2 linked regions of the Macaca mulatta genome follow. The protein of the gene in region 2 purifies or fractionates together with the protein of the main gene of each other region. This does not show direct contact. Links are inferred from orthologs where the notes say so. Each region holds a gene or a part of one and is shown on either strand. Other genes may lie near its edges. The genes, in order: MED26 and POLR2B.

The links.
Region 1: the proteins of POLR2B (region 2) and MED26 purify together in Homo sapiens (affinity purification with mass spectrometry; 3 studies listed by BioGRID and IntAct, with this or other methods). This does not show direct contact. The link is inferred for Macaca mulatta from reciprocal best matches to the Homo sapiens genes POLR2B and MED26.

What each region holds. Positions count from the first base shown.
Region 1 is NC_133424.1:17,071,404-17,077,841, reverse strand, and holds MED26 (mediator of RNA polymerase II transcription subunit 26), read left to right. Parts: upstream 1-2,180; 5' UTR 2,181-2,262; coding exon 2,263-2,364; intron 2,365-2,516; coding exon 2,517-2,591; intron 2,592-3,253; coding exon 3,254-4,909; 3' UTR 4,910-6,023; downstream 6,024-6,438. UniProt on the Homo sapiens protein: Component of the Mediator complex, a coactivator involved in the regulated transcription of nearly all RNA polymerase II-dependent genes.
Region 2 is NC_133410.1:76,508,402-76,514,996, forward strand, and holds the start of POLR2B (DNA-directed RNA polymerase II subunit RPB2), read right to left. Parts: upstream 4,327-6,595; 5' UTR 4,277-4,326; coding exon 4,258-4,276; intron 1-4,257. UniProt on the Homo sapiens protein: Catalytic core component of RNA polymerase II (Pol II), a DNA-dependent RNA polymerase which synthesizes mRNA precursors and many functional non-coding RNAs using the four ribonucleoside triphosphates as substrates.

The sequences.
Region 1 (6,438 bases), on a different chromosome or scaffold from region 2:
GGGAACAGTCTGGAGATGGGGGGGATGATCCGAGATCATCTGAGCAGGCCCTGCCTAGTCAGGGAGTCCTTAGAGATGGCACCTATCTTGGCTGGGTCAGAGAGATGCCGGGCGAGAACTCGGCCTGTAGCTGGCATAAGGGGAGGGGCTGTGAGCTGGATGCAGTGCCCTCCAGAAGCTGGGAATGGCTTCGGATGACAACCAGCAAGAAAATGGGCCTCATTCCTGCAGTGTAAAGAGCTGAACTCAGCCAGACGCCGTGGCTCACGCCTGTAATCCCAGCACTTTGGGAGGCCGAGGAGGGTGGACCACCTGAGGTCAGGAGTTCCAGACCAGCCTTCAACATGGTGAAAGCCCCATCCCTACTAAAAAAATACAAAAATTAGCTGGGCGTGGTAGCGGGTGCCTATAATCCCAGCTATTCGGGAGGCTGAGGCAGGAGAATTGCTTGAACCCAGGAGGCGGAGGTTGCAGTGAGCTGAGATCATGCCATTGCACTCCAGCCTGGGCGACAAGAGGAAAACTTCGTCTCAAAAAAATAAGTAAGAGCTGAACTCTGCTAACACCTGAAGGAGCAGGAAATGGATCCTCCAGAGAGGATCCCAGCCCAGTGAGACCGAGACCTGACTTCTGAGCCCTAGAGCCTGAGATGATAAATGTGTGCTGTGTAAGATGCTGAGTTTACAATCACGTGTTATGGAAACTCATGCCACGCAGTCTTGGCAAGGATGTGGCCTGGTGGGAATGGAATGGAGCAGCCTCCCTGGGGGCGAGGTGACCACCCTGCATGGATGTGAAGCCCCGGCTCACCCGCGGCTGTCTGTGCATTAGCCCAGAGTCAAGTCTGTCACTGCCGTCAGTTGCAGCCTTGTTTTGTAATGGCGAACAGAAAGTGCCTAAGTGTCCCACAACATTCAAGTCGGGCCTTCCCCACTCTGGAAGGGATGGTGAGCCAAATGAGGGGCTCTGTTTGAGGCTGGACATTGCTGATGTTAAGTCAGAAAAGGCAAGAACCACGGTCAGTTTGGTTTTGAAATATGTGACAAGTGTAGATGTATACGCCTGCATACACAAGGGATATTTTTGGAAAAAAATGCAAGGTAATGCTACAGTGGCTGGGTCAGAGATGCCCATTTCCTTGTGTGCCCTTTTACGCTGTTTTAATTTGTATCATGTGCCTGCTTAACTCCTTTATCATGTTGGGGTGGGGGTGGGGGGGAGTTGTGTAATCTACTCACTGTGGTTTCCTCAGGGCCCCTGGGTTCCCGCCTGCCAGCCAGCCCACCAGAAACCTGTAGCTGCTGGAGGTGGCGGTTGAGCGGTAGGAATTCTTGTTGTAACAATTAAAGGAGTTAGTAATGTGTGGGAAGTGCTTAGAACAAGGTGTGGCTCCTAGCAAGATCCTAAAAGGGTGGGATTACTCGGTCATAGGATGTGTTCATGTTTCACTCTGCCAGACAAAGTCCAGCCGTTCCCAAAGTCGGCTGTACCCCCAGAAGTACCTAGTATTGTCAGTGGGGTGCGTGTATCATATATCCATTTGTGGGTTCAGTTTGAGTTTTCCTAATTATTGATAAAGCTGAGAAGCTGAGCATTAGCGCTGACATTTCATTGCACAGTGCCTGTTCCTGTCTTGTAGCCACTGTGCGCTGGGTTCCTGGTCAGCTGCACTGCTGCACAGGCATTCTCTGTGTGTTCCAGATACAGCTCCTTGGGGCTTGTGGTCTATGCCTTCTCCCACTTTGTGACTTTCTGCTCTCTTTATGGTGTCTTTGGATTCAAATCGACTGGTTTATTATGTATTGAATTTTTTTTTTTTTTAACGGAGTCTCGCTCTGTCACCCAGGCTGGAGTGCAGTGGCGTGGTCTTGGCTCACTGCAACCTCTGCCTCCCGGGTTCAAGCAGTTCTCATGCCTCAGCCTCCCGAGTAGCTGGGACTACAGGCGCATGCCAGCACACCCAGCTAATTTTTTTATTTTTAGTACAGATGGGGTTTCACTGTGTTCGCCAGGCTGGTCTCAAAACTCCTGATCTCGTGATCCGCCCTCATCGGCCTCCCAAAGTGCTGGGATTACAGGCGTGAGCCACCCGCGCCCAGCCTATGTATTGATCTTTTAAGCTTTGTGGATTTTATTCGATGAATTCTTCAGTGTCTCCTCTCCCACTCCCATCAGATGGCAGAGTAGAGGTCATTTTAAGTATCAGGAGCAGCTCTTGTTTCACAAGCATCCTGGGTTTCAGCAGGTGGGTGGATATGTACCATGTACACTGGAGGGTTTGGAGCAGACCGCACACCACACACTGGAGGAGGTCGGACAGCGGGTGAGGATGAGCACTGGGCGCCAGGTTGGCCTGGGGAGCAGGTAGGAGACTACATGGAGTGGGGGCTTCAGTGCTGCCAGCTCCTCTTGCTCTGGGGTTGGGGAGAGACTGGAGCAGGCTGGGGTAGGGTGTCCCTGCCTCCCAGGGGAGAAGGGCAGGAACCTGACAAATGGCTTTTTCTTTATTTCCACAGATCCGGAACATGGTGGCGGTGCTGGAAGTCATCTCCAGCCTGGAGAAATACCCCATTACCAAAGAGGCACTTGAGGTGAGTATCCCAGACCCCAGCATTTGGGAGTGCAGAATGGGGGACAGGGGACGGCACCAACCCAGTTCCTTCCCCAGCTTCTAGGAGCGTGTGTCTTTGCTTCAGAGGACCAAGAGAGGCGGTGTGCCCTCACAGCTTGTGCCCCGTGATCTTGCTCTCCTGTGGCCACTGCAGTGACCAAGTGGCATTAATCCCATCCTACCTGCCCAGCACACTTCATGGGCACGTGGGCACGTGGGGACATGGGGACATCAGGAGAGGTGTGCTTGGGGGAGGCTCCAATGAGAGGCGCCGTCCCCAACCCTCCACTTGAAGCAGACCCTCTGTGCTGCCGCCTTGGCCACAGCACCCTCTCATCCAGAAAGCCTCCCTGGCAGTGTCCTTACAGTGGCCTTGACAGCCCCCTGGCACCAGGAGCCTGCGGGACAGCACTGCTGAGAAGCCACCTGGGACTCTGAAGGTCTGGGGACTAGGTTTGAGAATTTATATTGTCACAAAGGACCGGAAATCCCCAGGAGTTTTGTGCCAGGGAGGCTGGCAGTTTAGGGCTCAGTGGGAACCAGGTCATTTCATTGTCAGGGCCATTTCCCACCATTTCTGGCTCAGCTCATGGGGAAGTCCCTGTCCCGAAAGTATGTCATCATCTCTCTTTCTGGTTGTAGGAAACACGACTTGGGAAGCTCATCAACGACGTCCGCAAGAAAACCAAGAACGAGGAGCTCGCCAAGCGGGCCAAGAAGCTGCTGCGGAGCTGGCAGAAGCTCATCGAGCCAGCGCACCAGCATGAGGCAGCGCTGCGGGGGCTGGCGGGGGCCACTGGCTCTGCCAACGGGGGTGCACACAACTGCCGGCCGGAGGTGGGGGCGGCTGGCCCGCCCAGGAGCATCCATGACCTGAAGAGCCGCAATGACCTCCAGAGGCTGCCCGGGCAGCGGCTGGACAGGCTGGGCAGCCGCAAGCGCAGGGGTGACCAGCGTGACCTCGGCCACCCAGGGCCACCACCTAAGGTCTCCAAAGCTAGCCACGACCCCCTGGTCCCCAACTCATCCCCCCTCCCTACCAATGGCATCAGTGGGAGTCCAGAGAGCTTCCCTGGCTCCCTGGATGGCAGTGGGCATGCAGGCCCAGAGGGCGGCCGCCTGGAGCGTGGCGAGAACGACAAGCACAGTGGCAAGATCCCCATCAACGCTGTGCGGCCGCACACCAGCTCCCCAGGCCTGGGCAAGCCCCCTGGACCCTGCTTGCAGCCAAAGGCTTCGGTGCTGCAGCAGTTGGACAGGGTGGATGAGACTCCGGGGCCTCCCCACCCCAAGGGGCCCCCTCGCTGCTCTTTCAGTCCTCGGAACTCACGGCATGAGGGCTCCTTTGCCCGGCAGCAGAGCTTGTATGCACCCAAGGGCTCCGTGCCCAGCCCCTCACCGCGGCCCCAGGCGCTCGATGCCACACAGGTGCCGTCACCGCTTCCACTGGCACAGCCGTCCACACCCCCTGTACGGCGGCTTGAGCTGCTGCCCAGTGCGGAAAGCCCAGTGCGCTGGCTTGAGCAGCCGGAAAGCCACCAGCGGCTGGCGGGGCCGGGCTGCAAGGCAGGGCTGTCCCCAGCCGAGCCCCTCCTGTCCCGGGCGGGCTTCTCCCCAGACTCCTCCAAGGCGGACAGTGACGCTGCCTCCTCAGGGGGCTCGGACAGTAAAAAGAAGAAGAGGTACCGGCCTCGAGATTACACGGTTAACTTGGACGGGCAGGTGGCTGAGGCGGGCGTCAAGCCTGTCCGGTTAAAAGAGCGGAAGCTCACCTTTGACCCCATGACAAGACAGATCAAACCTCTGACCCAGAAAGAGCCAGTGCGGGCAGACAGCCCTGTGCACATGGAGCAGCAGTCCAGGACAGAGCTGGACAAGCAGGAGGCCAAGGCCAGCCTCCAGAGCCCCTTTGAACAGACGAACTGGAAGGAGCTGTCACGCAACGAGATCATCCAGTCCTACCTGAGCCGGCAGAGCAGCCTGCTCTCATCGTCGGGCGCGCAGACCCCGGGGGCTCACCACTTCATGTCTGAGTACCTGAAGCAGGAGGAGAGCACCCGGCAAGGGGCCAGGCAGCTGCACGTGCTGGTGCCTCAAAGCCCGCCCACAGACCTCCCCGGGCTGACCCGGGATATCACACAGGACGATCTCGACAGAATCCAGGCCAGCCAGTGGCCGGGGGTGAACGGGTGTCAGGACACACAGGGTAACTGGTATGACTGGACGCAGTGCATATCACTTGATCCGCACGGCGATGACGGGCGCTTGAACATTCTGCCTTATGTCTGTTTGGACTGACCGGCCCGTCAGCCACGAAGTGCATTCCCATCTTGCAGAAGCCGGGCGGGCGGGCAGGCAGGTGGGTGGGTGGCCGGGGCCCAGCTGCCTCCTGCACTGGGAACTCGGGGAGTCCGGCCCGGGCAGGAGGGAGGGGGCGGGAGTCACGCGGTCTCTCTGCACTCTTCCCTCAAAACTCTCCTTTTGTGAAATGCTGCTACCAGTTTACTAACAAAATTGCGAAGGAAGGACCGCGTGGAAGGAAGGACGGCAAAGTGAGTTCAGAACTCTATAGCAAACCAGCTATAAAAAGCGTTAGTCCCTCACCCCTGAAGAGGTGCGGACACTTTCCAGCACCTGAAAGCTGGGACCTCAGTTGCAGGCAGGCACAGAAAACCTGTGGAGAGGTTACCTTTAACACAGCAACAGAAGCACGCATCTCATCTCTCTTGCATTTTCTGTTCTTTAATTTGGCCCTGAGTGTCTGTGAGACAGTGGGCCATGCTGCCTCTGTTTGCTCCCTACCCAGCCACTGTCAGGTCAGTGTTGTCCGTCATGTGCCAGAAGCTTCTCAGCTGTGGTGAGCCACTGGCATCGGGCAGGCGGGCCAGCTGGCCAGCCAGGGTGACCCACACTCCATGGGCAGCCACCTGTTTATATCTGGTTTCAGTTATAACCCCGTTTTTAAAGAAATGCTGCAAAAATTTAAGTTTTTTCATGTTTATTTTAACAACTCCTTCCATCAGACCACCAGACAAAAAAAAAACCTTTCCTTTCTTCCTCCCTTTCTTTTTTCCCTTCCTGTACACATCTAGAAAACTTCACCTTTCTAGAGTCCTCCCAAAACAACACAAAAGTGACTGTGGGTGCTACTGGTTTTATGCTGTACTGTGGGGCGAGGGGGAGACCTGTCTGTACGCTGGAAACACTCATAACCATTCCTTTAGATTCGTTTGCCTTATGGTTATTTGTCATAAACGCGATTTGCAAAAACAAGGAGCCTTAGTGAATGTACAGTACCTAGACTTCTGTGTTCTCAGGACGCAGAAGGGAGCAACTTTGCTATTTGGTCCAGTAAGTGGACACCTTGTGATATAAATGTGGAAATAAAAAAAAAAAAAACCATTTGCACAAACCAGTCTGAGAATCTTTTCTCATTTGGACCTTCACAGCCAAATCAGCCCTTTCCTGGATTGTAGATTAGCCAGAAAAACCTAGACCCCAACAGCCGCAATGCAGGGAGACAGGACAGGGCACTGTGCTTTGAAGTCCACCTGCTAGCCTGCTGCTGCATTTGGGAGGACCTTCACATTTTATTCATTCAGGGCCACATTAAGGAACGTTATCTTGTCTCACCCAGACTTTACCTGGCCTAGAGAGCAGCCCTCCGTAGGAGGCTCCATAGCATAGGTCTCAGTGACTACCCCCACCTTAACAAAATACCAGAGACTTAGAGCTGTGTGTGTGTGTGTGTGTGTGTGTGGCAGCCCACCCTGTGGCCCTGGCCCCCGGCTGCCTTACTAGCTGGTGGTTGCTGACTCCAAAAAAAA
Region 2 (6,595 bases):
AAAGACCCCATAATGCAAGATAGGATGGCATATTCAAAGAATGACAGAAGGTCAATGTAGCGGAAGCGCAGAGTGTGAAGTTGGAAGTGGAATAAGAAGAGTTTGGCCTTTATCAAGAGATTTGAGTTTAGCAGGGTTGTGGCTAGGTCACATTTTCGTTTCTGAAAGATCCCTATGGCCAGTGTGGAGAATGGATTGGAAGTACACAAATCAGTTAGGAGTAATCTAGGCAAGGGATGGCAGCAACATGAACTAGAATGATGGTGAAGGGGATAGAGAAGTGACCAGATTTGACGTATTTAGGAGACAGAACCAACAGGGCTTGGTGACTGATTAGATATGGAGGTGAAAGAGAGGAGTCAAAAATGATGGCCAGGTTTTTGATTTCAACAACAGAGGGTACAACAGTTGTACCTCAGTGTCCATTGGAGACTGGTTTCAGGACCTCCCATAGATACCAAAACACAGATGCTTAAGTCCCTGACATGAAATGGCACTGTTATATACCCTAGGCACATCCTCCTGTATCCTTTAAATTACCTCTAGATTACTTATAATACCTAATACAATGTAAATGCTATGTAAAGAATTGTTTACTTGTAATGTTTATGGAATAATGACAAGAAAAAAAGTCTGTACATTTTTACAAGGGCACAATTTTTTTCTAATATTCTCTTTTTTGTTGAGACAGGGCCTTACTGTTACCCAGGCTGAAGTGCAGTGGTGTGATCACAGCTCACTGTAGCCTCAAACTCTTAGGGCTCAAGCAATCCTCCCACCTCAGTATCCCAAGTAGCTGGGATCACAGGTACACGCCACCATGCCCAGCTAATTTTTAAATTTTTTTGTAGAGATGAGGTCTCCCTATGTTGCCCAGGCTGGTCTCAAACTCCTGGCCTCAAGCTTTTTAATATTTTCAATCCAAGATTAATTGAATATACAGATGTGAAACCTACAGATACAGAGGGCCAACAGTGCCCTTCACCAAGACAGAGAACACAGGAGGCAGTGACTTTGGGAGGGGAATAGCAAAAGAAAATAATTAGCTCAGTTTGGGCAGTGACAAGGTGAAGTAGCCTGGGAGATATCCTAGTTGGCCAGTGGCAGTTAGATACCAGGGCTTTTAAACTAGAAGTATACATTCAGAAGTCATCCACATACAAATGGTAACTAAACAATGTAAAATGGATGAGATCACCCAAAGAGAATGTGAACAGGAAAGAAAATGAGAACAAAAGTCAGATAAGAAGAATCAAGTGGAAGTGATGTGGCTAGAAAGCTGAGTGAGTTTCCAGGAAGATGTCATCAACAGTTTTGAAGACCACAGGGTTTAGATAAGATTTTTTAAATATCCATCTCATTTATCAATTGAGAAGTCACTGTCAATCTTAGAGCTATCTTAATGCAGTAGCATGAGTAGAAACATATTGTAATCAGTTGAAAAGGACATGAAAGATGAAAATTAGAAACAAGGACAGCTTATTATTTTTATGTTTGGCTGTGAATGAAAGGAGAAAGGTAAAATACTAGAAGAAAAAGGAAAAAATGAAAAGTTTAACTTGTTTCCATGTGGATGACAGAAATCTGACATTTTCACATAGTGGCTGAAAACTGATGAGGACATTATCTAATAAACATTTCAGAGGACATGGGCAAGAATAAAATGTAGGCTCACTGCTAAAGCAACTATGATAAACTCTTTTTTGCACGGGATCATTATACATTGCAAAACTAGTACAAATCACCACTATGGTGGTCACTTGGCATCATCTAGCAAAATGTTAAAGGTGTGTATCATTTGACGTGACAATTTTATATGTAGAAATGCATCCCACAGACATACTTGGGCAAATTATATGTACAAGATTATTCATTTACAGCACTGAACCCGAAAATGACTAGAAATAAATCAAATATCCATCAAGAGACTACTTAAGTTATGGTACATCCACACAAACTAAGTAACTGGCGGAGTGGGCGAAGGGGCGGGGGCGATGCTTTCTGTGTACTGATACAAAAATCTAGATACATTAAGCAAAATCTAAAAGTGGAGAAAAGTGTGAATATTACTTTCTGTCTTTAAAAAAGGAGAAAAATCCCATTTATATTTGCTCAAATATGCATAAAGAAACTGTGGAGGCTGGGCGCAGTAGCTCACACCTGCAGTCCCAGCACTTTGGGAGGCTGAGGCAGGTGAATCACCTGAGGTCAGGAGCTTGAGATCAGCCTGGCCAACGTGGAGAAACCCTGTCTCTACTAAAAATACTAATATTAGCTGGGCATGTTGGTGCACGCCTGTAATCCCAGCTACTAGGGAGGCTGAGGCAGGAGAACTGCTTGAACCTGGGAGACGGAGGTTACAGTGAGCCAAGATTGCACCACTGCACTCAAGCCTGGGCAACAGAGCAAGACTGTCAAAAAAAAAAAAAAAAAAAAAGAAACTGCGGAGTGATTAAAATCTATTGTAACAGTAGTTACCCACTGTGGAGAGTTCAAACTGGGCAGATGGTGGGTAAGAAGGAGACCTGACACTTTAATTTTTTTTTTTTTTGAGACAGGGTCTCACTTTGTTCTTGGCTCACAGCAGTGTCAACTTCCAAGGCTCAAGCGATCCTCCTGCCTCAGCTCCCCAAGTAGCTGGGACTATAGGTGAGCACCACCACACCCAGCTAATGTTTCCATTTCTTATAGAGAGGGGGTCTCCCCTGTTGCCCAGGCTGGTCTTGAACTGCTGAGCTCAAGCGATCCACCCACCTCAAGCTCCCAAAATGCAGGGATAACATGCGTGAGACACTGTACCAGCCACCCCACTTTAACGTTTTTAAACTTTCTGGCTTGTGAGCTGAGAATGTATTACCTAGCCAAAAATTATGCTTTAAAAAATCTTTTTTTCGAATTTTTCTTCTACTGAGATAACAGTTAAAAAGAACAAGTACTATAATGATGCTAATAAATTTCTAGAACACAAGATATAAATGAGACAGAAGTTTAAACAGCTTTAAAAGTTTAAGTTTTTGGCTGGGCACAGTGGCTTACGCCTGTAATCCCAGCACTTTGGGAGGTTGAGACAGGCAGATGGCTTGAGCTCAGGAGTTTGAGAACAGCCTGAGCAACATGGCCAGACCCTATCTCTCAAAAAAAATTTTTTAAAAAGTTTAAGCTTTTGCTTCAATTTTTTCCATCTCATTTATCAGAAGTAGCTGAGGGAATAAAGAGAGGAGATGTAAGGGGTGGCCAAGGAATTGAGAGCTAGAAGAAAATAAGATTTGCATTAGTAGATATGGAGAATAGAAAAGGCAGCTATGAAAATACACTAGATTCAACTAAGAATTCTGTTTTTTTTTTTTTTTTTTTTTTTTTTTTCAAGACAAGAGTCTTACTCTGTCATTCAGGCTGTGGTGCAGAGGCGCAATCTCAGCTCACTGCAACCTCTGCCTCCTGGGCTCAAGCGATGTGGCCTCAGCCTCCCGAATAACTGGGATTACAGGCGCGCGCCATCACACTCGGCTAATTTTTGTATTTTTAGTAGATGCGGGATTTCCCCCATGTTGGTCAGGCTGGCCTCAAACGATCTGCACGTCTCGGCCTCCCAAAGTGCTGGTGGGAGCCATCGCGCTCGGCCACTACTAAGAATTCCATATGCGCAAAGAAACAGATATTATACATTGGTCCAGTGTAGCAGAATACATATCATCTGAGAACTGTGACATTGTGAGAACTGTGACACTGTGAGAAGAGGAAATTTAAACGCCATCCTTTAAGACAATTTACTTTGACTTACAAACAGCATGAAGAAATGTCAGACTAAACCGAGTCCTCCCACCCTCCCCCCCGATATTCTCTGTCCCGATATATTTCCAGGGCCTTCCACACTGCCTGACACAGGCTGACACTCAACACTTCAGCTATTCAGTAAGTCGACTGTGGCTTTAAGGAAAAATTTTAAAGGGTGCTCTTTGCTTCAAATTCAAAACCACGGAATTTATCTTACGGTTCTGCACGCTACTTCACTACAGGAAGCGAGGATCAGATCTAAGGGAACGAGAAAGTGCAGAGCAGCAGTGAACCTAACCGGGAACATTAACGCTGTGTTCCCTGCACCCTCTGCCTCTCCCTACCCCAGTTTCGTTCCCGGCCTGAAAGGTGTGGGAACAAGGCTAGGGACTGTCCGGCCGGCGGGAGGGAAGGCCCCAATCATCAATCCAATCAGTTCCCCAAGCTTCCCTGCTGGACCGCCGTGGCATGTGTTTCACCTACCCTCATCCGCGTCGTACATATTGCCAAACGGTTCCCGAGCTCCTAACTCGAAATCAAAGACAAAAAGCGCGCAGAAGCCACCAGCGTCGGGAGCTAAAGACCAAGTAACTTCCGTCTCCGACGTTCCCAGAATACTGTGCGTCTCACACAAGAGGCCGCCCACAGGGACGCCAAAGTTAGGATCTGCGCCTGCGCAAATTGTAGGGCAAGCTTGGGCGGGAGTTGGGTTGCACACGCGCAAATTGTGGGCCGCCGCTGCCGGTGGCTGATTGAGAGGACAGCTCCCGCAATCTGCTGTCGCATCCGTCCCGTTAATGTTTTATTTCTGCTTGTTTTTCAATGTCGTTGCACAAATAACGACACCTGAAAACAAAGCCAAGTATACTTATTAATAAAAAGTGCTCGTTCTGTGAATCCGCGACATTGGGATGCTCAATTGATTTGCCTTTATAAAGACCAAAACACGAAGCAATTTTTATTTTTATTTGTTTATTATTTTTTGAAATGGAGTCTCGTTCTGTTGCCCAGGCTGGAGTGCAGTGGAGCGATCTCGGCTCACTGCAACCTCCGTCTCCCGGGTTCAAGCGATTCTCCTGCCTCGGCCTCCCAAATAGCTGGGATTACAGGCGCGCGCCACCACGCCCGGCTAATTTTTGTATTTTTAGTAGAGACGGGGTTTCACCACGTTTGCCAGGCTGGTCTCGATCTCAGGTGATCCGCCCGCCTCGGCCTCCCAAGGTGCTGGGATTAGAGGCGAGCTGCCCGCTCGCCTACCGTTCCAGCCACGCGCCCGGCCAGAAGCTCCGTTTTGTTTTGTTTTGTTTTGTTTTGTTTGAGACGGAGTTTCGCTCTGTCGCCCAAGCTTGAGTGCAGTGGCGCGACCTCGGCTCACTGCAAGCTCCGCCTCCCGGGTTCACGCCATTCTCCTGCCTCAGCCTCCTGAGTAGCTGGGACTACAGGCGCCCGCCACCACGCCCGGTTTATTTTTTGTATTTTTAGTAGAGACAGGGTTTCGCCGTCTTAGCCAGGATGGTTTCGATCTCCTAACCTCATGATCCGCCCGCCTCGGCCTCCCAAAGTGCTGGGATCACAGGCGTGAGCCACCGCGCCCGGCCCGGAAGCTCCTTTTTAAATGTGATTTATTACGGGCGGCTTGGGCTAGCAGTGAGGCGTTAAGCCTGAAAGTGAAAAAACTCAAAACGCTCATCGCTCTCTTCTGCCCATCTAGCTCAATCCTCCAGTGCCTCCAATGCCTTTACTATAGCTTTAAGTAGGTTCTCAGTCTCGGCGCTTAAATCGCGAGAACTCACGAGATTAGACGCAAAACTAACCAGGACAGCTCCCAGGTACCCACTCGCTTTCGTCTCGGTTCTAACACGCGCGTCGCCTCGGGCCCTAGTACGCGTGCGCGCTTGTGACTCCGCCCCTTTGCCTGGAGCTACTTCCTCATGCTGCCCGCTCGCCTGCAGTTCAGGCTGCTGAGCCTTTTCTTTCGTGGATTCGCTCCCACGGCAGCGCGCCATGGCCTCCGGGAGCCGCTCTTGGGGAGGAGGCGCGCTGCCGCCTCCTCCTTCCAGCACTCATCGAGTCTGGGACGCGAGCTTCCTTATGACCCCGTGGACACGGAGGGCTTTGGAGAAGGTGCTGACATGCAGGAGCGTTTTCTGTTCCCGGAGTACATCCCGGAGCCGGAGCTGGAGCCCACCCGCGAAGAGCAGCTGCAGGAGCTCCAGCAACAGCAGGAGGAGGAGGAGCGACAGAGGCAGCAGCGGCGGGAGGAGCGGCGACAGCAAAACCTACGGACCAGGCCCCGGGAGCACCCGGTCGTGGGGCACCCGGACGCGGCAGTGCCGCCCAGCGGCGTGAACTGCTCGGGCTGCGGGGCAGAGCTGCACTGCCAGGATTCCGGCGTGCCCGGCTACCTGCCCTGCGACAAGTTCCTCCGCATGGCGGAGGCAGACGGCGGGCTGGCGCGGACCGTGTGCCAGCGATGCTGGCTGCTGGTGCACCACCGGCGCGCTCTACGCCTGCAGGTGAGCCGCGAGCAGTACCTGGAGCTGGTGAGCTCCGCGTTGCGGCGGCCCGGGCCTTCCCTGGTTCTCTACATGGTGGACCTGCTCGACCTGCCCGACGCCCTGCTGCCCGACTTGCCCGCGCTGGTGGGCCCCAAGCAGCTGATCGTGCTGGGAAACAAAGTGGACCTCCTGCCCCAGGATGCTCCTGGCTACCGGCAGAGGCTGCGGGAGCGACTGTGGGACGACTGTGCCCGGGCCGGGCTCCTGCTGGCCCCTGGCCACCAAGGGCCACAGATCCCCGTCAAGAACGAGCCACAGGACGG